5 linked regions of the Nothobranchius furzeri genome follow. The protein of the gene in region 1 purifies or fractionates together with the protein of each later gene. This does not show direct contact. Links are inferred from orthologs where the notes say so. Each region holds a gene or a part of one and is shown in the gene's direction. Other genes may lie near its edges.

Region 1 (5,128 bases):
AAAACATGAGTGTCATTTACTTTCCTTTGTTTTCTAGGTGATGCTAGAAGAAGGTCGTTCGAAGGGTTTTGGCTTTGTCTGCTTCTCTTCACCCGAGGAGGCCACCAAGGCGGTCACGGAGATGAACGGACGCATCGTTGGCTCCAAACCGCTCTACGTGGCTCTCGCTCAGCGCAAAGAGGAGCGCAAAGCCCACCTCACCAACCAGTACATGCAGCGCATCGCTGGCATGAGGGCCATGCCCGCTAACGCCATCATTAGCCAGTTCCAGCCTACCAGTGGCTACTTCATGCCAGCTGTGCCACAGGTGTGGGATTTCAAATCCGACTAATGATCAAATATCAACATTACCTTGCTTTTTTGGGGAATGGCATGTTAAACAGGAAATGTGATGGTCTAAATGTTTGGGTCGTAACGTGATAGTCAAAAACACTTTAAAGCTGGGGTACCTAGTTTAATTCATTTTAATGAGAGGCTAATCAGAGGTTTTCATATGTTTGTTATCATCCCGGTTATTTATTTGTCACTTTTTGTTCCCTTTAGGCCCAAAATAGGACGACATACTATGCTCCGAACCAGCTGGCCCAAATGCGACCCAACCCCAGGTGGCAGCAACAAGGTGGCAGAGGTCAAGGTGAGAACATCATTCCTGGTGTTGCATCTGCCAACGGCACTTTTAAAATGCGTAAATATTGAATTTGATGGGAGTTTCGTCACTTTCAGGTGGTTTCCAGGGAATGCCCAGCTCCCAGCTGCGTCAGCCTGGACCCCGTGCCAACCTAAGACACATGAGTCCCGGCGGTGGCTCTCAGGGCCCAAGAGGTGTGTTTGAGATTGAAAAATAATCTCGGCTCTCTCGGCCTCGGGGGGTGGACTACTGGCGGTTGTGAGTGGGGCCCCTTGGACATCTTGGCGGTGGCCATGGGTCACTGCCCTGCAGCTGCATTGCCCCTGGACGGGTCTGGGTGGGGGCCTGGGGGCTTGGGGTGTGGGGGCGGCCGGCCCCATGGGGCGATCTGGGCAGGGCCTTGGGGGTCAGGTCCTGACATGTATGCTGCCGGGGAGAAGGCAGGAACATGCAGCAGTGCCTGACTCGGGCTCAGGGCCCTCGGGTAGACCTTGGCTCCTCTGCTGTCCCATCACAGAGAAGGGGGAAGTCCAGGAGGTGGAGGACCCAACCTTACCTGGATGTCCTATGTCTTTTATAATCCGAAAGTTGTGCAAATGCAGGGATGGGCATAGATATTCTGCTGGAGTGGGGCTGGGTTGGTGCCCTCGGACTCCGTGAGGCTCTGTGGTGTTGCTGGCAGGATGGGCTGGGGTCTCCATGCTCTGGGTGGCATTTTGACAACAGAGGTGCCTATTGGGGCCAGTGGGGGAGCTGGCTCCCTGGAGGGCTAAGCCCAGCCAGCCATTCCTCCCCATCCCCACACATTTCTCTCCTCCTGCTCCCTCACATCATCACACAGTCATGCACATAGGACCTTGGGGGGTGGACAAGTCAGGGGGTATGGGTATGGACCCCATTTCCGCATTCCTGTGGCAACCTACCCCCCAATTTTATTTGCACTTCCACCAACAACATTCCACGCAAACACACACTTAGGGCCTTGGGAGTGAGCACATTCAACGGCATTTGGCAGGGGGATTTCTCAGCCTCATCCCAAGTGCCGGTGCCCACTTCCAATTTTAAACTGCACTTAAACACTGAGGGCTGTGGGTGCAAGTGGGGTGGTGTGGTGGTGTGGTGGCATCAGCTGGCATAGGCCAGACGATGCCCGCACTGCCCGCTCACCACAGCCATGGAATACACCTCATCAACACTCACTAACACCATATTGGAGCAGGCGGAGGGAGACTAGGGGTCTTAGCACACCTCTGTTGTCGCTTGGCTTCCTGGGGCTGGAGGCTAGGAGGGCGATCCGGCCGTCCAGTTGGGGTCTGGGGTGGTGGGTTGCTGTGCTCAACGTTGGGCGGGGGAGCCTGCTCATCAGCACCCCCAGCAGAAAGGGTCGAACTCTTGGAACCGGTAATGGTTGTACCCCATGTGCAGCAGTACTGGGACCAGAGTGAATAGGGTGTGCATGTGTGAGCATGAGGGAGGGAGTGTGTGACTGTGTTTGTGTATGACTGTATATGTCAGGTGGGGCCTTTGACTCCTCCCCTCTCCTGGGACTTCTTTTGATGATATAGATCTTCATCTCCCCTCTCTCTGCCACACCTGGTGTGGAGTGCAGTGCCTTGGTCTGCCTGGGTCATGGCTCCCGGGTCAGGGAGTTTAAGATTTTTGGCATCTGCCTGACCAATCCCAGTGGCTGCCTGGTGGGGTCTGGATCCCTGGGCTCTGCTGGAAGCTTGGAAGTGCCCTGAAAACCTCACCACGGAGGTGTCCAGGAGGCATCCTGACCAGATGCCCGAGCCACCTCAACTGGCTCCTCTTGACGTGGAGGAGCAGCGGATCTACTCCAAGCCCCTCCCGGATGACCGAGCTTCTCACCCTATCTCTAAGGGAGAGCCCAGGCACCCTGCGGAGAAAACTCATTTTGGCCGCTTTTATACGCGATCTCATTCTTTCGGTCACTCTTCAAAGCTTGTGACCACAGGTGAGGGTAGGAATGTAGATCGGCCGGTAAATCGAGAGCTTTGCCTTCCGGCTCAGCTCTCTCTTTACCACTACAGATCGGCACAACGACTGCATCACTGCAGACGCAGCACGAATCCACCTATCATTCTCACGCTCCAGCTTTCCCTCACTCGTGAACAAGACCCCGAGATACTTAAACTCCTCCACTTGAAGCTAAAACTTGAACTATTTTTCCTGCATCCCCCCAAAGCTCATGTTCACAGCTTTATTTCTTGTGTTCACTGACAGCAGCAAACCAGGGCATGGCTCCTCGTCCATCCATGGGAGTCTCCGGTCCCCGGGCCATGCCTCCTTACAAATACGCCACCGGTGTCCGTAACCCCAACCCCCAAGTGGTGCAACCTATTGCCTTACAGCAGGTATTATTTTACTGTCCTGTCTTGTAAAACACCCATTTCTGTAAATATTCTCTGAGGGATCCTATCTGTCCCATCCAGGCTCAGCCAGCTGTGCACGTTCAGGGCCAGGAGCCTCTCACGGCCTCCATGCTGGCTGCTGCACCTCCTCAGGAGCAGAAACAGATGCTAGGTTAAACTCAACTTTAAAATACAAGAGCTGGAATGATGTTTTGATCACTAGACTGATTTATAACTACTTCTTTTATACAGGAGAACGTTTGTTTCCACTGATTCAGAGCATGCACGCCAACCTGGCTGGAAAGATCACAGGCATGCTGCTGGAGATCGACAACTCAGAGCTGCTGCACATGCTGGAGTCACACGAATCTCTCCGTTCAAAGGTAGCTCATTGACCTCGCCATTTTGACTCCTGAAGCATCTCCTTTTGGTTGATTAGCGTCGTTCTTGTTCAGGTGGAGGAGGCCGTTGCTGTGCTGCAGGCCCACCAGGCGAAGAAAGAAGCCACGCAGAAAGCTGGCGGCATGACCACTGCTGCTGCTGCAACATCCTGAAAACTGTACGCTCTCTGTTGCTTATTAGATAAAACACCATTTTTTATTGCTAATCAGGTGATTGTGTTGTTTCAGGGTGGAGTAAACTGGGCAGAGATGAACATCACTACAGGGACTCCAAACACCCGAGTCCATTAAATGTGCAACAATTGAAAACAGGAAGTACTTTAGAAACATGTCACAGTGGAAACATTTTTAGTTCCTTCATATCTATAATATGCAAACAGAAATAATAGCATTTGCTCTACTTTGCTGCAAAGGAGAAAAACATCTTTGTTCTAAACTGCTTGAAAACTTCACATTTGCCTTCATGTGACATTTTCATGGTTGTGCGGTATTTTCAATAAAGGCTTGATGGATTGATTCCCAGTCTCTGTGTTTTAAATGCTACATGAAAAGATGTTTGTGAGCATCAGACACTATACCACTTCATTAGTCTACTCTGGATCAGGGTGGGGGGAAAGATTCTTACAAATGAGGCAATAATTTTAAGCTTTGATTCGCTAAATTGACTTTCTGACAAAAACAATGACTGATTCAACCAATGCATAAAGGACGAGTAAACGATGAATGCTGATTAACTTTTATCTATAAATATCAGTTAATTTGACTTCAATGTTTAATCAGATGTTGCTGACTAAACAACAGGAGCAGTGCTAAAAGTTAAATAAAATGGAACACTGCAACGATTTATAATTTACCACTTAAAAATACTTAAATGCAATTTATAAAATTATTTTTGTTTGATCCAAGGATTTCTTGACCACAATGTTACATTTTGCATCCCGCAGAGGGGTCCCAACCCAAATTTTGGCAACCATTTCATTTATTTCATTTGTTGCATGTTTTGTTTATATTTTATACCGTTTTAATGGTTTATATTTAGCTTTTTTATTGCATTTTGAATGTTAGTTTTATTCGTATCTATTTTTACACCTGATTGTTTTTTGGCAGGTACGTAATGTGCCGGGAAACACAGTTCCTGCACATATAACAATAAATCATTTGTTTTTGGTCATGAAATCTGAAAATATGGTAGGCCAAAAGGCCCAAACAAAATTTATTTGAAATTACACAATTAACGTGTAGAATTTTGTTCATTTCTTCACGCTGACTTACAGAATTAAACTATTATTTAACCTGAAGCTGAAAATAACGATGTTCAGTCATGATACTTTGGGTGGAGAAACTTTTTGACCACTAGAGGTCGGCAGAGTGAAGTAAATCCCGGAAGCGGCATATGCTAGATTCGACCAATCAACGGCCGGGTCAAAGTTGAAAACTTAATATCAATATGGCTGCCAACAAACGAGTTTTGTATATCGGTAAGTTCTGAAGTTTTTTCCATCGAAAAACGTTTAAAACTTGTGTTTTTGTGTATAAAAGGTTTTAGCGCACTTGCTAATGAAACTTTGTGATATGACGTAATAAAACGCGAGCTAAGCGCATGTAATGAACGTAAAATGGCTTTTTACATGGAAAATGTAAAGTTTAGCTGCTTTATTTGTTTAGTAATAAAATTGATTACTTTAATTGACTTGAAGAAATTACAGAACACTCACTGAATAATAACT
Region 2 (5,407 bases), on another chromosome or scaffold:
CCCGCTTCTCACCCCTGTAGAGAGTATTATTTCAGTCTGGACAATCTGGAGCGGGACTTTTTCCTGCGGAGGAAGATGGATCAGGAGGGCTTCCTGCCCATCGGACTCATCGCCAGTTTCCACAGAGTTCAGGCGCTCACTACAGACGTCAACCTCATCATCGAGGTTAGCGGAGCTGGAGTTTGTTTTTATAGAACAGTAAAAAGAAACGCGTTTGGAAGCTGAACATTGATTATCTGCTGCCAGGCTTTAAAGGGCAGCAAAGAGGTGGAAATCATCGACATGAAGATCCGGCGGAAGGAAGACCCAGAGAAGTGGCCTCTTCCTGGTCTGATGATGCCCAACCACACGCACACCGACTTCTCCCAGCTCATCAACTGCCCCGAGTTTGTTCCCAGACAGATGTCTGAAGAGCGCAGAGGTGAGGAAGGTTCGTTGGGATTTCATGTTTCTAAAACATCAAACCAACCTGGGGTTTCGTCTCTTCTCCAGGGTCTCCCAGAGCCTCCACGCCAGTTCAACAACTGACCAAGACTGAACCAGATATCTCCAACCTCAAGACCATGCCCAAGGGCCTCTCCGCCAGTCTCCCTGATCTGGACTCCGAGTCCTGGATCGAGGTGAAGAAGAGGCCCAGACCCTCTCCAGCCAGACCGAAGGTGAGCTCCGAAAACCTTTGAAAACTTAGCAGAAGATTATCTTGTTGTGTTTGGTTCACCTCCACCGTTATTGTGCGACTCACATCAGGTCCCTGTGTTGCAGCAGAAAGAAAAGGACGAATCTCTTCGGTCTCTGGTTCCTCGGCCCGGCTCCTCTCCATCCCCTGTCGTCTCAGGAAATAAGGTGAGTGAGGAAATCATTTTCCCCTCTTCTGATCCAACGGTTTGAGGCGTTTTGTTATTTTTGTTTACAGATGCATGTCTACTGATTGTACGATGATGTGGTGTTATGTTGTCTGATTAGGACGGAGCAGAGCAGGACGAACCCGAGGAGCTGGACTTCATGTTCGATGAGGAGATGGAGCAGATAGACGGACGCCGCAACACCTTCACCGACTGGTCGGACGAGGAGACGGACGGTGAGCTGGACGACAACGACATCAACAAGATCCTGATTGTGACGCAGACGCCGCCCTACCTGAGAAAACATCCGGGGGGCGACCGCACCGGTCAGCACACATCGCGCGCCAAGCTGACCAGCGAGCTGGCCAAAGTCATCAACGACGGGCTCTTCTACTACGAGCAGGACCTGTGGGAAGACAACTTCGAGCCCGAGTACGCCACCATCAAGGTGAGGTTGCACTCTTTGATGACATCACCAGAACAGCAGGTGCTGGGCATGCTCTGGCGGTTTCTGTCTCACGTTTTGGAGACATTTCTGCACGAAACTGGAGGACGAGGAGATGCATTCAGTGGCAGCTGGAGCTGTTTCTGGATGTGGAATGGAAACACAAAGTAGTTTTTGTTTAGTTTTGTTGTCCTCGCTGCCTTTTTGTTGCATTGTGGTACCTTCACGTGTTCACCGGCACTCATCCAGCGCTGCGCGGAACAAAGGCAGTTTGTTTATAAATAAACCCCACATGGAAGGTCTCGGCCTGGGGATCGGAGCCGCCGGGTCGAGGAGGAAGAAAATGGAAGAGACTCGGAGTTTACCCGTCGCTGTGAGTCACATCTGATCAGGATCAGGGAGAGAAACCACCTGGGAGCTGTCCTTACCCTGAGCTTTAGATAAAGGGCTGTGTGTGTCTGTGGGTTTCTGAGTAGAAGTAGAAGCTGTGTGCGTGTGTGTGTGTGTGTGTGTGTGTGTGTGTGTGTGGGAACAGTTCGTGTCAGATATGAAGGTGAAGAGGGTGTTTCTGGCTGCTGTGCTTTGCTGCTGCGTCTCGGTCTCCAGACTGCTGCAGATGAGGTCTGATCATTTCACAGTGTTCATGCGAAAGCTTTTCTGGTTTAAACCAGTTCTACGTTAGTTTCTGTTCTAGTTACCGACAATCCCAGCAGTTTGCTCTGATGAAAATCACAATAACTTTTCTCAAATTTCTTTTTACAGCAAGAGGTGGAGAACTTCAAGAAGGTCCACCTGATCAGCCGTGAGGAGTTCGACTGTCTGACACCAGAACCTCCCGTTGACCCCAACCAGGAGGTCCCCCCCGGGCCGCCGCGGCCCCAACAGAGTAAGGACACGCGTGTTTGTGTAAACCTAAAGCCGCTTTAATCCAGCTTCATCTACCTGATGGTGCAACATGGAAAAGATTAAACTTCAAATGTTGATATTAATAAAGACAACCCAACTACTGTTGGGCAAGAAGAAACGATTAGTCAGACTGTTTTAGAGTCGATGGTTTTCCTTTATGAAGGTGAGTAAAAACTTGGAATGTTTCTTTTCTGAGGTCAGATGGCTGAGTTGAGTCTATTATGATCTAGTGGATAAAAACGGGATTGTTTCATTTGTTTTCCGTCTCTAAACACGTTGAAATGTGAAACTCAGACGGTTGTAATAGAATGAGCCGGCGGTTTTAGAGATTTAACTCCTGACTTTTCCTTCTGCGTCGTCTTCAGTTCCTACAGACGCTCTAGCCAACAAACTCTTTGGAGCCCCCGAACCCTCGTCTACAGCCCGCTCGCTCCCCACCACAGTGCCCGAGTCACCCAACTACCGCAGTGCCCGGACGCCCCGCACGCCTCGCACCCCTCACCGAAAAGACCCAACCATGACGCCACGCTTCTACCCGGTGGTGAAGGAAAGTCGTCCGGTTGACGCCAAGGTGAGGGGAAGCGGTTTGGTAAAGCGAGAGGTCTTATAGACTGACAGGAACGATAAACGCTTGTTGGGTTTGTTTCAGACGCCCAGAAAGAGGAAGACCCGGCACAGCTCAAACCCGCCGCTGGAGTGTCATGTTGGCTGGGTGATGGACTCGAGAGAACATCGCTCCCGCACCGCCTCCGTCAGGTGGGACGTCCATGTGCTGATGCTGCCGCTGATGTTTTCCTCCCAGTCTCGGATCTAACTGAACTCTTGCTCCTTGTGCCTCCCTCCCAGCTCTAACGCCAGCCCGTCAGAGGGCACCCCCGCCCTTAGCAACATCGGCTGCACCCCCCAGTCCCTCCCCAAGTTCCAGCACCCGTCGCACGAGCTGCTCAAGGAAAACGGCTTCACGCAACACGTTTACCACAAGTACCGGCGGCGCTGCCTCAACGGTACGTCGCCTCCTCACGGTTTATTCTACAGGAGTAATCCTTCATTGTGAGTAACCCCATCTCTGCTCTCCACCAATCACAGAGCGGAAGCGGCTTGGAATCGGCCAATCGCAGGAGATGAACACGCTCTTCCGCTTCTGGTCGTTTTTCTTGCGGGATCACTTCAACAGGAAGATGTACGAGGAGTTCAGACAGCTGGTGGTGGAGGACGGGAAAGAAGGTTACAGGTGAGGTGACGGCTTTGAGAACTTGTGTTTCTAAATTCTGATTGAAATTGATTCCTCGTGTGTTTGTGGGCGACAGGTACGGTTTAGAGTGCTTGTTCAGGTACTACAGCTACGGTCTGGAGAAGAAGTTCAGACCAGACATCTTTAAGGACTTCCAGGAGGAAACCGTCAAAGACTACGAAGCCGGTGAGGAAACATGAAGCGGATCATTCTGACAGTTTAGGCCTCCTAAACGAGCGTTTGTTGGTGAAAGTATATAAAACTGTGTTTGTGTCTGCTGATCTCAGGTCAGCTTTATGGACTGGAGAAGTTCTGGGCTTTCCTCAAATACTCCAAAGCCAAGACTTTGGAGATCGACCCGAAACTCCAGGAGCACCTGAGCAAGTTTAAACGACTGGAGGATTTCAGAATAGATGTAAGAGTTTTTGTTTTAATCCAGATTAAAGGTGAAATAAATTCTGATACTGATAATTATTGTTGTTTCCAGCCACCGATGGAGGAAGGAGGCCGGAAAAGACACGCGTCCAGTGGGGACGGTCGCCGTCGCCATCCCTCCCAGTCCTCCAGCCGACCTCACAGCCAGGCGAGCGGAGGCTCCGCCCCTGCCTCTAAGGATGTTGCCAAACCCCCCTCCCAGAAAGCCCCCGCCCACAGCGCTGATCCCACACCGGACGCCAAAGCTCTGAAATAACTGCTGCACCGATGCGCTGGCCCATTTGGATCGACTGCACCACGTCTTCAAATCACCGGTTCTTTCTGCGCCACCGGAGGGGGAGGAGCCTCCAGCTCTGCATCTGATGAAAACAAAAGCCACCTTCTCAAGTTTTATTAGATCCTTTGGAGTAATTTAGAACCTTAATTAGACAAATAAATCGTGAGGGAATAAAAAAAACACATCTTGAGCGGTCCGAGACTTTTATTTCCTGCTAAGTCGACTCCCCCTCCCTCCCCCTCGCTCTCTGATCTCCTGCTGGCTGAAAGATTTGGATTCCTCCTCAGACGTCGTGTTTCAGAATTCTTTAGCAGGAGGTGGTTGAACCGGACTGATCTGGAAGCTGAGCTGCTCCCGACGTTCAGCCGGACCAAAGTGGTTTCAACTGGGCGACCGACCTCTCCAGACCCGGGGCTCAAACAGAGAAATATTTGATTTCCTTTATGGCTGGATACCGAGGGGGAACTATGAAAGAATAAGTGACTTGTTTCAACCCCTCACTTTGGACAGATTATTGAAAGTTGCCTTATTTTGATGGTTTTACTGCTTCCAACTTGTGCCCGCCACCGTTCTGTCGATTGAACAGCATCAAAATCACCATTTGTCTCATCGGTTTCCACCTGAGGCCACTGGGTGGCGTTTTGTCTGCCAAATTGTCCTCCGCTTCCTTTCATCTTTGTCTGTGAACTGTCTTCCACGTGTCCTTTGATCTGTTATTGTGACGACTTGTAGCTTTGTGTGCTGAAAGCTGATGGAAGTTCATCACCGTTCCTCTACGACCCTTCAAAATAAAATAAAAAAAGGAAGTGGGACTTGACGACGACTTCCTTTTGGGTGCTTCTCTTCCCACATCTGTCAGACATGTTGCATTCATCTGTTTATCCATCCATCCATCAGTCGAGCATCAACACCGCTGCAGGACTGAAATCCTCACTCTGGACTACTAGATGATTGTGAGGAGAACAGACGCTGGTATTGGACCTTGTTGCTTCCTGTTTCTCACATCGGTTACAGGTGTGAACACTAAGGAGTGCAGTCAGATACAGTTGCAGCAGCGGCTTCGTGTTTTTGTTTTCCTCTGATGGAAACCCTGATCCAGCTCGAGACCTGATGATATCCAACAGATTCCCTTTCCACTGGCGAAACTGTGAATTAGACTGATGAAGAGGAACGATCCCCTGCTTTGTTTTAGCCCTTACAGAACACACATCTTTGCCTATATGTGTGTTCTATTTTTAACTCTTATTGCTTTTTAACTTCCATTTGCTGTG
Region 3 (5,407 bases), on another chromosome or scaffold:
GAGTGTTCAACATCACCTTTATTTTTGTGCAGAGTTGTTTCTGTGGAGCATGCAGGTCACCTCACAGTGTGTACTGATGACCTTGTGCTATTTTTGTCGCGTAAAGATCCCTGCACAAGCAAATGCTGTGGTCCCCCCCATCCGCTATGAGGGGTGCACCCACTTTTTGTCTCTGAGCAGGCAAGGAAAGCCAAGTACTCTGTGGTGAGCCGAGTTAACCCACGCTGCACTGAGCTGTTTTAGCCTGAGTAGTGCTGTTGGAAAAGGCCTGTTAGGTGTGTCTCATAGTCTCATGAATCTAGAATGTGAAATATTCATGAATATATTTTCTTTTCAAGAGTCATTGTTACACACTTGTTTTTTTCTTCCAGAAACTAAGTTTTCTAGGTAGTTTAACATTCTGATGAATGTTTATCAGTACTTTCTGATTTATTAATCCTCACGTAAATTGTTTTATTCTAATGCTTGTTAAAATAACCATTATCGCTCTTGTCATGTAGTTGGATAATTGAGAAATGATTGATTGCTGTTAAATGCCCAAATTAAATCTTCAGTTCGTTAAATCTTTTGAATTTTTTTTTTATCAGGAGATCCATAAAAGAGTGATGGCTTTGAGTTTCCGAGACTGCCACACTAAGATCAGACATGTGGACGCTCACGCTACTCTGAACGAAGGCGTGGTGGTGCAGGTGATGGGCGAGCTGTCTAATAACATGCAGCCCATGAGGAAGTTCATGCAGACCTTCGTTCTGGCACCAGAGGTTGGTATTAGATTATTAATATATTTTTTTCATTGATCTGATCAGTTTATTCACATGCATGTTTTTCCAGGGTACGGTGGCAAATAAATTCTACGTCCACAACGACGTGTTTCGTTACCAAGACGAGGTGTTTGGTGACTCTGACTCTGAGCCTCCAGAAGGTGAGAAACTGTTTTGTTTTATGACCTAAACATTTTTCTCTCTGAAATTGGTGTAATGTAGCAAGTTTAAAAGAGGTTTAAAAAACATTTTTTTAATATTTCTGTTCATAATCGGTCACTTTGGGTTTTTCAAGCAGGCTGAACATGAAAATAGTCTCCTACACCAATCTGCTGCATTAGCTTCTGACGGTGAAGCTCTAGGGTTAGAAAGTCCTTGACGTATCTGCGTCACACTGTCACTTGGCATTCATGGACTCCCTTCCAGTTTTCAATCCAGCGATCACATGTAGTTCAAGCAGAGCAAGAAACCAAAGAGGAAGAACTTTCATGCCAAAGCACAAAGGCAAAACGTGGAGCATTGTATCTTGTAAGTCCCTAAACAGCAATGGTAATTAAGATGGTTAATGGACAGTGTCAACCTTCTTTTATGTTTATAAAAACGTAACATTTAAAGCTAATATGAATATTTAGAATGGACTTTGGTGAGATTTGTTAATGACAAAGGTCAAGTTTGTGAACACAGAATTTGATAGTAAACAAGTAAAAATATTGCACACTCTGCCTTTAACATCCACCATTTTCCATTTTTTGAGATCTATAGAAACTGTATATTGATGGTTTACTGGAGCAGATTATTTGTAACAATGGTTAAACTGGTCCATGGGGATGGGTCTAAGGTAGAGAAATAATCCCTCTAAAACATTCATTTAAAATCAGTTTATTATTCCATTGATCAGGGTATCCGCGGCGTCTTAAAAGTCATGAATTTGATGAAAGGAAAATTAAGACCCTTAAATGTCTTAAATCGATTTAGTGAAGTCTTAAATTTGGTTGCTAACTTGAAAAAAATGTTGGCGAAAATTGCCGTTTATGAAACCAAATGCGTTCATGGGAATGAAAGACTTTTTGTTTTAGGGAAGGTGAGTCTGATCGGGTTTCAGTCGCTCTTTATAAGAATCTGTTTCAGAAAAATGAGGAGTGTTCATCTTCTTCACAAACCCATCTTTGTTAGTGGGTCACGAGTCGCCATTTGACCAATCACAGTCATTGACTACGTTTACATGCAGCCAATATCCGGGTTATGATCGGGTTAAGATAGGTATTCGGGTTTCTGAGTTGATCAGAATAACCCGTTTACAAGCATAAATAGAAAGAGTTACCCCTAACTTGCATAACCCGATTTAAATGCGGACATTGGGGTAGCATCAGGACGTATGGACTACGTCAAGACGCAATATCCGTCATTTCCGGTTCATTCTTTTCGGTTACCTTCTTGTATATTTCGCTGTCTCTGTACTTTTGGCCGTCAACAAAAGACAATGTTCATACTTTTCACCAGACCGATGAAGACAGAGGTTTCCTCATCACTCCAAAAGTGTGGTGCTGTGCCGCGACTCGCCATGTTGCTCCCAACTTGTTGTTTACCTCCGGTGTTCTGGCGCATACAAGATGTGTCGCTACTCAAAAGACCAAGATTCCTTGCGAACAGAGCATGCGCAGAACACACACTTTGATGGGGATATCCCGGTATGCGTTTACACGACCAAACATTCGGGTTAGAAAAGGGTTACCCCAGGTATAGTAACTGGGTTTTATAAAACCCGGTTATGAGCATGTCCAGGTTTTTGGCAGTGTTTACATGGACCTGCGGAACCGGGTTATTGTGAATATTCGGGTTTTTAAAGGGTTACTGGCTGCATGTAAACGCACTCACAGAGACAGCTAGGGAAAAACACAGCGGTAGCCGGTACCACGGCGCCGCTACTACTGTCGCTTCAACATCTGGCAGCGGCTGGGGCTTAAAGTTCGTACAATCATCAAAATCCCCTCCCAGATACCAGTTTTCTGTCCAGAACTTTTAGCAGGTTTGTCTCCTTGCAGTTTCAGCCTTCACTGATGTTTCCTGAGGCTTGTGTTCTTATTTTTTGGGAGGGGGAGGAGTTGAGTTCAAGTGTTGGTCAGAAACTGCTTTCCCAGGAATTAGACAGGTCCATCCTAACCTAAAGAAGATTCTGACAGACAAGCTGCTGCAATTGTTTTTTCAGATTTGTACAAGCTAAACCCTTTAGGCACGCCTTCCCTACATGTTATATAAGAGATTTGAAATCAAGAAGAAGAAAAACTTGCAAAACAGTATGGATCTGTTCTCAGTGAGATGTTTTTAGTGGAAAATGAACATAAATAGATCTAAAGATGTTACTGGTACTTTTACTATCATTCTGTTGTGGAAAGTCAGCACAAATATTCAGTGAAAACTTTAAAAAGCTGCTTAAACCTTCATTATTTTATAGTGGGCCTTTCTATATTTATAAAATCAGTTGATTGTTTAAAGTAACTGTAACTAAAGTTACTCAGAGCCACAGCAGAAGGTCCAGTCTGAGTTAAGCTGTGGTAGCTGCAGAGAAACTGAGAAACAACATTAAAGCTTTTGCTATTTGCTTGTTCAAGTTTAATTCAAATCGAACAAATAAGTCATCAATTATATATTATTTCTATGTATATTTAACAGTCATGCTGGAGATAAAAGGCAGAATAGATTAACATTTTAACTTTATCTGGTTACATTGAAGCTTCATGTCCCACAGTGAGCAGTCTGTCCCACATGTGGGGAGTTGGGATCTGGTCATCCTACTGAAGAATGATTACAGTAATTTGGAATATTTTCAGATGTTTTTATGTTTGGTGTTTTGTGAATTAGTTTCATAATAATAGTTAATTATTATATGATGATCCCTAATCATTATCTGATCAGTTCTGTTAGCTTATTATATTTAGCTTTCATGATTCGTAGGACTGGTAGAAAGTTGCTTGCATTTTGCAAAAACATCACATAAAAAATATATATATTTTTTAAATGTTCTCAATAAAATAAAAGTATATAAATGTCAGAGGTCACTACAAAACCCACTGTAGAATAGATGCACACCTGCAGCACGTGAGGACCTTGTTTGGGGGAGTTATTTTGTCACTTTTTTCACAGCCTTGGAGTTTGCGGGTATGAAAAATAGATGCATGTAAACTAAAAATAAATATATTTTGTTCGTCTATGCGTGCGGTTTGCATTTTTGTACCATGGGGCTTTCCATATTATTGCTACAGCCTCGCTGTCCCGGGTGGGACGTAACCCAACATGAAGTGGAAAACGAAGCGATGCAGTATTTAAAAACAATATATAAGTGTTTAACAGTTGATTAGTTCTTTGCGATAGACTTAATTTTATTTTTTACAAGGTCTTAAAAAGTCTTGAAAAGGTCTTAAGTTTAATTTTGAGATTCCTGCCTATACCCTGATAGATATGAATCCAGTTTTTTTTTCTTTAGTTGTACATTGCGTTGTTCATGAAATAGTTTTTACTGTTTTATTTTCAGAGTCTGAGGATGAGGAACCGGAGAGGGTCCCCTCACCTGACATCGCCCCCGAAGACTCCGCCCCCTTCTACGACCCAACCCCTTGGTACGGCTTTAACACCTTTTCAGAAGTTTACCGTTGTGTTTTCTACTAAAGTGCTTTAGCTTGATATTGCAGGCATTGTTGCCAAGTGCTAAAGAAAACTAAACAATTTAAGTTTTAATACTATTTAATGTAACTAATTATTACTACCTTGTCAGAGTTAGAAATGCTGTTGTTTTGACAAAACGGACCTGGTTACAGTTCAGACCCAGTGGCTCAAGGTGATGAGGAGGAAGCAGCTGCTGTGAGTCCAGAACCAGAACAGGAGACTGAGAAGGAGGTTGAGGCTGTTGAAGAGGAGCTCACGGCTGATGTGATGCAGGAGACTCGGACAGAAACGCACACAGCTGATGATCAGACAGAGAAAAGCTCCACCACCCCAGTCCCTCCAACTACAGAACCTTCCTCTGCACCTGCAGAACCTGCCCCCGCTGCCCCAGAAGAGAACAGGGTAGGTCTGAATACCTCAACAGCCTTTTAGCAAATTCAACCAGGAGCTCAAAGCAGTTGTTCTTCCATCTGGTCTTCCTAACAGCCTTTCTCCTGGGCATCGGTCACCAGTAAGAACCTCCCTCCCAGTGGGGCTGTCCCAGTCTCAGGAATCCCTCCTCACGTTAAAGTCGCTCCCACCGCTCAGGTAAGTTTTATTTTTATTTTACTTTCACCTTGATTTCACTTAAGTTTTCAGCCATTAAAAGATCATTAGATTTTTTCTTATTTATTTGTAGAAGAGGAAAAACTTCTCAATTGTTTCCAGATCCAAACTGTTAAATAGTCTCAGTATATTTAAAGCTTGATGAAATAAATGAAAACTCACACACTAGTGGCTGCTGTGATCAATAGGGTTGAGCATTGTTTTTGAATTTGAATGATTCTAGTTCCTATTGATTCTCAGTTTCAATTCTTTCAAGAGCCGGGGTCCAAACACACGACATGTTTTAAATGAGACTGCTAACCATAGGTCTTACTTGATTAAAGGGGGAGTCACACCATGGGTGGAGTTTTACTTCAACCACACTTCCTGTTAGAAAAATT
Region 4 (5,407 bases), on another chromosome or scaffold:
ATAGTTCCCGTATTTGACCGTTTATTTTGATGGAGAAAGAATTACCCCGACGCATGCAGACGAACTGGCATTTTATTCGTTACGCACATTAGAGCTGAGGAAAATAATCGATGCATCGGGATGCGGACATAAACGATTCTGCATCGTAGAAGAGTACGCCATAATCGATTATAGTGGAATGTAGTTTTGTTTTTTTAACGGCGGCACCAGCGCACCATCCAAATCTGTCAGAGTGAGCGTCCTCCACATTTACCAAGTGGTTCCGCCTTAATGTGGTACTGCAGGGCTGAGCGCTGGAGTTGTAACCTGAGACCGAACCGGAACCAAATCAGCCCGACCGGTTCTGTTGGATTTGGGCCGTGAATTATGTTAACTGAGCAGGTTGTCATGCGGCGCGCTCCGCTCGCTCGATCAGCGACTGAGAGAGAGAGGGACACTGCTCACACAAGAGAGACGATCGGAGGATGCTCCTCCAAACACTCATTATTATTTTCATAATTTAATTGTTATTTCTCCTGGAAGCGCTCAGTCAGACCAAGTGTTGTGATGTTGGAAGTTCTGGTCTTGCGGAGGGGGTGGGGTCAACAATGGCGGCTGCAGCATAATAATCTGTCTCTTTTATTTAGAACATGTATATATATATATATATATATATATATATATATATATATATAAAGCATCCTTATATGACAGGGATGGGCACCTTTGACATTTGAATCGATTCGGCACTAATTCCCGGTACCTAGGGTTTAGTTTAGGAACACTTGTTGTCTTTGTCAGAGCAGATAAAAAGCATTTTAAAGTATTTATGTTCGTCATAACAAGCCTGAATACTTGTTTTTTTTTTTTCTTTACTTTCTGGTTGTCAAACAAGGCTATTCCCAACAAAGCGTGAGCTTCAACTATGCGTCTCTGTCTGGAGGACGTAATTCGGCTGATTTCTTGGTCAAGTCATCAACGCTGTCGGCGAATGCTCCAGAGTTTGTTCCCTTTGGATCGAGCGCAAATGAAGTAAGATGGGTTGTCACATCAGTGCTCAACCCAGTTACACAATTTTATATCACCTCAAAGTCTCTGCTAATGACATTTTTCATGTGCATTTCCCTTTTTCTATTCTTTATAGCAACCCGCTTATTATGATGACAGTGAAAGCTATTTCCCCGACTTCTCATTGGCTGAAATGGTCACAGAGTTTCTCGGTCACCTGAGCTCCTCCCCGGGCTCCTTTGAGGTTGACGTGGAGCACATAGCTAGTATTCTCAATTCCTGTGTTATCACTGAGGAGCTGCTGAAGGAGCTGGTGGAACTGATCTTCACACAGGTTTGGTAACAGTTGTCGTTTTTTAGAAATTCACATTTAAATTGATCAAATAGAGTAAACCCATATTGTGGGGAAGCTGAAACTTTTGTGTCGTCATTGCAGTCCACTTCTATCCCTAACTTCTCCTACACCGGGGCCAGACTCTGCAACTACCTTTCCCATCACCTCACCTACACCTCACCAAGTGGCAGCTTCCGTCAGCTGCTCCTGCAACGGTAATCGAAAGGACGAGATGTGTTACTTGTGGCATTTTCCTAAATCGACTTTAGAATATTTTACAAATGAAAATGGATTGGTTAAGATGGGATTGTTGTCTGTTGTAGATGTCACACGGAGTATGGGAAAAGGGATGCAGTTGTTGGAGGAGAGCCAGATATCCAGAAGAAGTTCCACTCCTTTGTGTTGTTTCTGGGGGAGCTCTACCTGCACCTGGAGGTAAAACGTTATTTATCGTTTGCATGTAAAATTCTCTTTTTAAACAGACTTTCTCATGTAAAAATGCACCTGATCTCATTTTTATTTGGAAGAATTTGGCAAAAGAATATAAACTGTCAGTGTAAAAAGTATTACTGCATTTTAAAAAAAATAAATAAAATTAAACATCTTAGGTGTGTTCTTGCTGTGTCGTATCTGCGGGAAAACAGGTAAACAAAACTGCTCTGTGTTTAAAAAAAGAACTACAGCATGGTAAAAAATTTAAATAATTTGTATTATTGTTTAGTTGCATCAAACTATTTTTTGCACTTTTTTTTCTTAAACTCCCAGTTTCAGTCGTTTTGTTGGATTTTTATTGCAAAATGCACCAAATGTGTACGGTAGGAAACTGGTTTGAGTGCCGGCAGGTTTTGTTTATATCCTTAAAATGTGTCAAATGTGGAGTCAAATCTTCCTGAAATAAGACAGTTTATTAACTCATTCACTGCCATTGACGACTAAAGTCGTCATTTGCATTTTTTTTACTGTTTGAGCATCAGAACGAGCCCCCGCGCTGAGAGAACAAACATCTCAGCCCTGAAGCCGATCTTCATCCGCATACGTCACAGATCACATGATCAGGAAGCAGACCATCCATGTGTTTGGAGATCGTTTTGGGCCGTTCCTGTAAAAAAAGTGAGGCGCGAACCGGAAAAGCGTCTGCCGATCACAATTCGACAACGGATTATGAAAGAACGGATAACGCTCGAAACACGCGGCTTCTTCCTGATGTAAGAGGTGAGTCTCCTCCTTGTTTAGGTTGTTTTGGCGTCGACATCATGCTAGCGCGCAACGTTCTGTGACTCTTAAAAAAACAGTAAAAACGGTGAGAAACGCTGGCAGCGAAGGCCGTTAGCGATCAGGAAACGGCTGGCAGTGAATGAGTTAAAAAGTGTGAATAAAATAAAGTTTTTGGTTTTATTTTTCAAATAATTGGTATTTTATTATGTGCACGCTCATTAATAAAAAGCTAAGTGAGTCTAGTTTAAAAGATGAGTGATTTTCTCAAAATATCTGTAATCCAGATGTTTTAATCTGTAAACCTAGACGAACTTTGCCCGCATGTGTTTGTGTGCTGCACCACTATAATACCTGCTTTTTACTTTAATCTAGATAAAAAGCAGCAAAGGACCTCCAAACCGAGCAGACGTCCTCCTCACGGCTCTGAAGGACCTGCTGGACAGTCTGCTTTCTGTGTCCGTGGATGCGAATCTCATCTGCGCCGTAAAACTGCTCAAGGTGTCGAAATTCTCTCAGACGTGTTTAGAATCGTTTCTGCAGGGATTTTACTGCCACGGCTCACATTTAAGGAGGAGCTCAGAGTGTTTTGTGTTTACAGCTGACTGGGTCTGTCTTGGATGATGCGTGGAAAAAGGGGGGGAAACCATATATGGACAAACTAATCCAAAGAATTGAAACGGTTCTTCTGGATGCTACCTGCAGCAGGTGTGTGTCACTGTGTCCAGCTGTCAGTCCAAGCTGTTTCTGATCTTTGATCCTATCCTGTAAAGCCGGGTGGACACTGTGCGACTTTTTCACTCGTAGCACTCAGCTTCAGCTCGAACTGTACGACTTCCTCGCAGGGCAGATCTCACGAGTCATGTGCTCACACTGCACGACCCAGTTCTCGGATGCGACCTGACTGCTCACACTGTACGTCTGGTAGCAACACGTCGGCCCTAAAAATATGCTAAAAATAGCAGTTTTTACTCAACACGTCAGACTTTTTTGTCTTGTTTTGCCTGTTGTCCTTCGGGAGTGCTGCAGGAGGACACACAGGGATTTATGGGGGTTGGATGAGGAAAACGAAATAAAGAAAGTAAATCTGTGTTTTGTGATCAGTTTAATTTGACATGAACACGACAAACACGCTTTCTTGACGATCTTTGTGAGTAAACAAACGTGTAGAAATAAAAACAAACAGCGTGTGTTATTAGGGAAATGGCGAGCGAGCGGCGTTGATGCAGGACTGCGCAAGCGCCGTGAGCGGTTCTGATACTTTTTGGGTCGCAGCTGCTCGCAGCGCTGCTTCAACAGTGCGATACCCTCACGAGGGACGAGCGAAATATCAAACACCAGAAGTCCGTGCGACCTCACGATTGCTGATCTGTAGCTGGTCACGTGGTGTTAATCGCCTCTCGTAACCCCCTGTACACTACACGACCGCTCGGCGCAAAACTCGCCCGGATCTTCTGGATTCTTGTACGAGTGGAAAATCGGCTCAAAAAAGTGAAGAAGTCGCACAATGTACGCCCGGCTTTAGCTTACATGCAGCTAATGCTCAGGTTTGTTGCACCAGCCTGGTCATCTATGAACAAGCAGCATTTTTTATGTCTAATAAATTTCTGCACAGAACATCACTTACAGTGGGGCAAAAAGGTATTTAGTCAGCCACCGATTGTGCAAGTTCTCCCACTTAAAATGATGACAGAGGTCAGTAATTTACATCATAGGTACACTTCAACTGTGAGAGACAGAATGTGAAAAAAAATCCATGAATTCACATGGCAGGATTTTTAAAGAATTTATTTGTAAATCAGGGTGGAAAATAAATATTTGGTCAATAATAACAATTCAACTCAATACTTTGTAACATAACCTTTGTTGGCAATAACAGAGGTCAAACGACTACTATAGGTCTTTACCAGGTTTGCACACACAGTAGCTGGTATTTTGGCCCATTCCTCCATGCAGATCTTCTCGAGAGCAGTGATGTTTTGGGGCCGTCGCCGAGCAACACGGACTTTCAACTCCCTCCACAGATTTTCTATGGGGTTGAGGTCTGGAGACTGGCTAGGCCACTCCAGGACTTTCAAATGCTTCTTATGGAGCCACTCCTTTGTTGCCCGGGCGGTGTGTTTGGGATCATTGTCGTGTTGGAAGACCCAGCCACGTTTCATCTTCAGAGCTCTCACTGATGGAAGGAGGTTTTGGCTCAGAATCTCATGATACATGGCCCCATTCATTCTGTCCTTAACACGGATCAGTCGTCCTGTCCCCTTAGCAGAAAAACAGCCCCAAAGCATGATGTTCCCGCCCCCATGCTTCACAGTAGGTATGGTGTTCTTGGGATGCAACTCAGTATTCTTCTTCCTCCAAACACGACGAGTTGAGTTTATACCAAAAAGTTTTACTTTGGTTTCATCTGACCACATGACATTCTCCCAATCCTCTGCTGTATCATCCATGTGCTCTCTGGCAAACTTCAGACGGGCCTGGACATGCACTGGCTTCAGCAGCGGAACACGTCTGGCACTGCAGGATTTGATTCCCTGCCGTTGTAGTGTGTTACTGATGGTGACCTTTGTTACTGTGGTCCCAGCTCTCTGCAGGTCATTCACCAGGTCCCCCCCCCGTGTGGTTCTGGGATTCTTGCTCACCGTTCTCATGATCATTTTGACCCCACGGGATGAGATCTTGCGTGGAGCCCCAGATCGAGGGAGATTATCAGTGGTCTTGTATGTCTTCCATTTTCTGATACTTGCTCCCACAGTTGATTTTTTCACACCAAGCTGCTTGCCTATTGTAGATTCACTCTTCCCAGTCTGGTGCAGGTCTACAATTCTTTTCCTGGTGTCCTTCGAAAGCTCTTTGGTCTTGGCCATAGTGGAG
Region 5 (4,553 bases), on another chromosome or scaffold:
ATGGGATCAACTGTGCCTATCTCCACGGTGACGTATGTGACATGTGTGGCCTCCAGGTCCTCCATCCCTCTGACAACGCCCAGCGCTCAGAGCACACAAAGGTAACGAGCTTCAACCGTTTCAGCGCTTTCATTCTGTTTGATTAACTTCTGTTTATTTATAAAACACCAGTTCACACCCAGCATCACCCCAGAGTGATTTAGGCCATACATTTACAGTAAACTCAGTTCAGTTGTAGTAAAATGAGATTATAATCTGGATTGATGTGAGTCGTGGTAAAATCCATAATCCTGTTTATTCCAGTTTCCAGCTGTAAAACATGGCAGCGTACAAACATCTGCTGACAGGAACTCTTTTGTACTTGTAGGCGTGTATCGAAGCCCATGAGAAAGACATGGAGATCTCCTTTGCCATCCAGCGCAGTAAGGACATGATGTGCGGCGTGTGCATGGAGGTGGTGTTTGAGAAGTCCAACCCAAGTGAGCGTCGTTTCGGTATCCTGTCCAACTGCAGCCACTGTTACTGTCTAAAGTGCATCCGCAAGTGGAGGAGTGCCAAGCAGTTTGAGAGCAAAATAATCAAGTAAGTCCAACTTCCTCCCACCATACAGCTTGAAATGCTTTATGACGTGACACATTTATTCAGTCCATCCAAAGACCAGCACCTGGACCACAGAGCTGATGCAAACAGTTGAGTGTTACAGGCAGGTCATGAGCCAGCTTACCAGTAAGAAGTGGTCCCAGTAAGCGCTGCACCTTAGCTTCTACAGCTACTTCAGTTTGGCTAAAACTCGACAAAGCTCCATCAAAACACCACATCTTCTAGAAAATCCAGGAGACTGGAACCACTAAAGGGTGGAGATGTGGGCGACCTATCTGAAGGTGTCAAAGAAGACAGAACCTGAGCAGGTCCACTCTGGACAGACGACTTCTCTCACCACATATTCCCTTTGTGTTCGTAGGTCTTGTCCAGAGTGTCGCATCACATCCAATTTTGTCATTCCCAGTGAGTACTGGGTGGAGGACAAGGAGGACAAGATGAAACTCATCCAGAAGTACAAGGACGGCATGGGGTAGGCCCATAGAAACCTGTCTGAACTCCTCCTTCTCTTTAGAAAATTTAGAAAAATAGAGTATCCAATAAACCGCATGTTTTCACTAAGTATTTTACTTAAGACATTTTTAAATGTTTAAAGTTGTTGATTGTAAATAATTTTAAAACCATAAATATCATTTGAGCCGTTGAATCTTCTGATCCAACAACAGATCAGTTGGTTCTGAAGGTTTAGACCACAAGCAGGTTGTGGTGGTTCACACCAGATGCTCTGGACTTGGCTTTGGGTGTTCCATTCTATCTGGCTGTCAGCTAGGGGTGTGTTAGGCACGCTGTGTTGGCTTCCGCCTTCACCTGCCTAGTGAGATCGGAGTTCAAATCCCGGTCGGGTCATACCAAAGACTTTATAAAAATGGGACCCACCAGATGGTTCTGCCCGGTTCCTCCTGGCCGCTGTCCCCTTAGTTCAGTTATCTGATAAGGTTCCATTCAGGAACGTGTCCGGCTCATTCTGGTTCCACATGTTTTAGAGTTCTGTGGACAGAACCTGGGGACTGCCTAAGCTAAGCTAAACTAATCTCACTTTGTAGTCCAACTTAGTCGTGAGTTTCGGGTATCACAGAGGAGGATCTGTTTGAGTGTGGCTAGATCACCATGTTCCTAACAATCTGCAGGTATAGAAATGAGACAGAAAAATGACATCATCTAAACTCAGCTGTCATCTTCAGAACTTATCAACACAACAACTCTGCTGTGTCTGATATCAGACCTGGTTAATAAATCTGTAGCAGTGTCTCCTGATAGCTAACGCTAACTGTTGGCCAAATGACTCCTGCTCAGGTGAAGAGACTCAAACATGTAGAGACTGTTTATTTACTTCAGACGTTGAATAAAGAGACAGAAAACCAAGTTGATAAAATATGTCAGAATAAAATTTTAAATGTGGTTCATCAGAGATCTGGGTGCTTCTGTGGTCTGTGTTAGGTGAACCGGTCTATAAACCAGGACCTGATCAGCTTTGTGTTTCTAGTCTGCACTGTAGTACTTCTCAGAGAACCTGGCTGCTTGTGTCTGTGATGGGTCCAGACCAGTTTGAGTCCAGTCCGGACCTGAACAATGACATGAGTCTTACCTGCTGTGTGGTCTGTGTGTCCAGCACTAAGCCCTGTCGATACTTTGATGAAGGCCGTGGAACCTGTCCTTTTGGGTCTAACTGCTTCTACAAACATGCCTTCCCTGACGGCCGGCTGGAGGAGGCTCAGCCACAGCGCAGACAGCCTGGATCCAACAACAGGAACCGGGTAAAGAGCTCCAGAACCACTCTGATTGTAGTGGTGGAACATAGTGATGCTCTGCCATTAATAGCATTACAGCACCCCCTGGTGGGCCGCAGGTAGACAGTTCTTGCCTAGAAACACTGAATCATTGTGTGTGCGTGTGTGTTTGTTTCAGAGCTCCAGACGAACCCCTCTGTGGGACATCCTGGACGAGCGGGGCAGCACCGACTCCTTTGATAACGATGATGAGGAGATGGTGACTTTTGAGCTGAGCGAGATGCTCCTGATGCTGCTGGCAGCAGGAACCGACGACGAGGTGACAGACTCGGAGGACGAGTGGGACTTGTTTCACGAGGAGCTGGATGACTTCTACGAGATCTACCTATAGCCCCCTCCCTCCTCCAGTATATAAATATATATAAATATATAACATTATACAGTAGACAATAGAGTGAACTGTGTTGTGTGAGTGATGGACAGTAGCCCTGCCCCTCCCCCCTCTCATGTATTGTGGCAGTGCCTTTAAGCAGGCCATTATTAAATGAACTTCTAAAAGCTAAAGGACCCCACCTCCACCGCAGTGCACTCGTGCTAAACCCTTTCTAGACCTCGTCCTTGTGAGTCTCTCGTGTTTATGTTGATAAGAGTTGACCTACAATGAACTTGTTAAGATGTTGCTAATAAACATTGTGAAGTTTGTGGGTTGTTCTGCCGCACCGTTACTGTAGCTCACAGACCGGAACCCGGTCCAGGACATCTGTGCTGCTTCTGCAGGGTAGGGTTTATACGGTGAGCATGGACTGTCTGATTTATGGTGATCTAAATGTGCTCAGAACAATAAAGAGACAGGAAGCTGCAACACTGACATGTTAGCAGGCATGATCCAGAACCAGACTTGGACTCAGATTTGGGTCCTGTGTATCTCAGAACATTCACAACAGAATTGCTGGGGGGTGGGACTTCCTGTGGATTTTAATTCTATTCAGGCAGGGAGACGAAAACATGGAACACAGGACCAAGTCAGCCGTGAACCTCCCAGGAGGTGCGAATGGTCTGGTGTCATCAGCAACAAGGTTGTTGGAATGGGAACCCGTGCTTTGGGCCCCTAGCTAAGAACCTTGTTGGCTTGGGAACCTGATATTGGCCCCTGGTTTAAGGGCTCTAATGTGAGGGCTCTGGCATCATGGTTTTGTGGTCTTGGGTTTGCCACCTTGGCATCAGGGCCCTATAGCTTCAGGGCTGTGGACCCTGCCTCCATGCATAGCGGACATCTTGACAGAACCTTCTCATGTTTATCTGTTGTGAATACTGAGTGGATCCCACTTCTGTTCAGTTGAACCTTTACTGTCCAAGATCCTCTAGACCAAAACATGTCTTCAGATTAGGGTCCAATTAGGGATGGACAATATATCGGCATCAATATCGGTATCGGCCGATGTTAGTCATTTTTAAAAATATCAGTCCGATAGATAAAACCGGGCCTATATTAACAACCGATATTTTTTTCCATCTTGCTTCCATTTGTTTGCCTGTTTCAGAGGGTGAGGGGGTGATGTGTATTGGTTTAGTCATGTGACTAGTCACAGTGAATGAAATCATCTCAGAAGTGTAAATGTGTGTTTTGTGTGTACAAACTGTAAATTCAGCTTTAATAATGTTCATTTTATACAAAATCGGCTGATTTTGGAAGCATTAATGACAGTTTATCTGTTATCGGCCATAACGGTGACATTAATATCGGCCCAAAAATGTCATATCGTTGCATAACTAGGTCAGGTCCAATCCAGCTCCTGTTCTGGGTTCAGGTCACGTACCTCCAGAGTCCTGCTTGTATGAACCCTAGATCCAGGTTCTACATGATTCGATCCCAAATATCCGGGTTGGGCCGGTTAGAGGTTCTGACAGCAAGATGACCTTGGGCAAAAATAAGCCTCTTAACAAAATCTGAGTTAATTTAAATAAAGTGTAATTTTTCTCCATGCTGCAGGGTTGGTCATCATGACATGTTTGGCTGTGTTGAAGCTTTTAAATCTCTGGAACTTTTACAGAACAGATGGTGGACCATATGTGACTGAGACCAAATAGAAACCCGGACCTGATCCAGGTATGCTGTCTGATCCACGTGAAACAACAGCCCTTACTGTGGACATCTTAGCATGAAATGTCAGGATTGTCTCTGTCCGGAAGTGCTGACAGGGGCAAGATGGACTAAATGAAACCTGT

Evidence for each region.
Region 2: the proteins of pabpc4 (region 1) and larp1 purify together in Homo sapiens (affinity purification with mass spectrometry; 3 studies listed by BioGRID and IntAct, with this or other methods). This does not show direct contact. The link is inferred for Nothobranchius furzeri from reciprocal best matches to the Homo sapiens genes PABPC4 and LARP1.
Region 3: the proteins of pabpc4 (region 1) and g3bp1 purify together in Homo sapiens (affinity purification with mass spectrometry; 4 studies listed by BioGRID and IntAct, with this or other methods). This does not show direct contact. The link is inferred for Nothobranchius furzeri from reciprocal best matches to the Homo sapiens genes PABPC4 and G3BP1.
Region 4: the proteins of pabpc4 (region 1) and paip1 purify together in Homo sapiens (co-immunoprecipitation; 3 studies listed by BioGRID and IntAct, with this or other methods). This does not show direct contact. The link is inferred for Nothobranchius furzeri from reciprocal best matches to the Homo sapiens genes PABPC4 and PAIP1.
Region 5: the proteins of pabpc4 (region 1) and mkrn1 purify together in Homo sapiens (affinity purification with mass spectrometry; 3 studies listed by BioGRID and IntAct, with this or other methods). This does not show direct contact. The link is inferred for Nothobranchius furzeri from reciprocal best matches to the Homo sapiens genes PABPC4 and MKRN1.

The regions. Positions count from the first base shown.
Region 1 is NC_091758.1:35,793,548-35,798,675, forward strand, and holds the end of pabpc4 (polyadenylate-binding protein 4), read left to right. Parts: intron 1-37; coding exon 38-307; intron 308-543; coding exon 544-634; intron 635-723; coding exon 724-822; intron 823-2,872; coding exon 2,873-3,003; intron 3,004-3,081; coding exon 3,082-3,172; intron 3,173-3,252; coding exon 3,253-3,383; intron 3,384-3,455; coding exon 3,456-3,554; 3' UTR 3,555-3,559; intron 3,560-3,629; 3' UTR 3,630-3,918; downstream 3,919-5,128.
Region 2 is NC_091750.1:54,244,058-54,249,464, forward strand, and holds the end of larp1 (la-related protein 1), read left to right. Parts: intron 1-20; coding exon 21-165; intron 166-246; coding exon 247-421; intron 422-492; coding exon 493-659; intron 660-747; coding exon 748-843; intron 844-963; coding exon 964-1,290; intron 1,291-2,049; coding exon 2,050-2,173; intron 2,174-2,558; coding exon 2,559-2,764; intron 2,765-2,842; coding exon 2,843-2,949; intron 2,950-3,039; coding exon 3,040-3,197; intron 3,198-3,279; coding exon 3,280-3,424; intron 3,425-3,500; coding exon 3,501-3,610; intron 3,611-3,711; coding exon 3,712-3,839; intron 3,840-3,911; coding exon 3,912-4,115; 3' UTR 4,116-4,345; downstream 4,346-5,407. UniProt on the Homo sapiens protein: RNA-binding protein that regulates the translation of specific target mRNA species downstream of the mTORC1 complex, in function of growth signals and nutrient availability.
Region 3 is NC_091741.1:69,278,290-69,283,696, reverse strand, and holds part of g3bp1 (ras GTPase-activating protein-binding protein 1), read left to right. Parts: intron 1-587; coding exon 588-761; intron 762-831; coding exon 832-922; intron 923-4,290; coding exon 4,291-4,375; intron 4,376-4,573; coding exon 4,574-4,823; intron 4,824-4,907; coding exon 4,908-5,009; intron 5,010-5,407. UniProt on the Homo sapiens protein: Protein involved in various processes, such as stress granule formation and innate immunity. Plays an essential role in stress granule formation.
Region 4 is NC_091757.1:56,190,005-56,195,411, forward strand, and holds part of paip1 (polyadenylate-binding protein-interacting protein 1), read left to right. Parts: intron 1-874; coding exon 875-1,011; intron 1,012-1,123; coding exon 1,124-1,321; intron 1,322-1,423; coding exon 1,424-1,536; intron 1,537-1,644; coding exon 1,645-1,756; intron 1,757-2,908; coding exon 2,909-3,034; intron 3,035-3,134; coding exon 3,135-3,241; intron 3,242-5,407. UniProt on the Homo sapiens protein: Acts as a coactivator in the regulation of translation initiation of poly(A)-containing mRNAs. Its stimulatory activity on translation is mediated via its action on PABPC1. Competes with PAIP2 for binding to PABPC1.
Region 5 is NC_091741.1:64,131,601-64,136,153, forward strand, and holds the end of mkrn1 (probable E3 ubiquitin-protein ligase makorin-1), read left to right. Parts: coding exon 1-101; intron 102-367; coding exon 368-582; intron 583-961; coding exon 962-1,072; intron 1,073-2,209; coding exon 2,210-2,354; intron 2,355-2,505; coding exon 2,506-2,718; 3' UTR 2,719-3,029; downstream 3,030-4,553. UniProt on the Homo sapiens protein: E3 ubiquitin ligase catalyzing the covalent attachment of ubiquitin moieties onto substrate proteins. These substrates include FILIP1, p53/TP53, CDKN1A and TERT.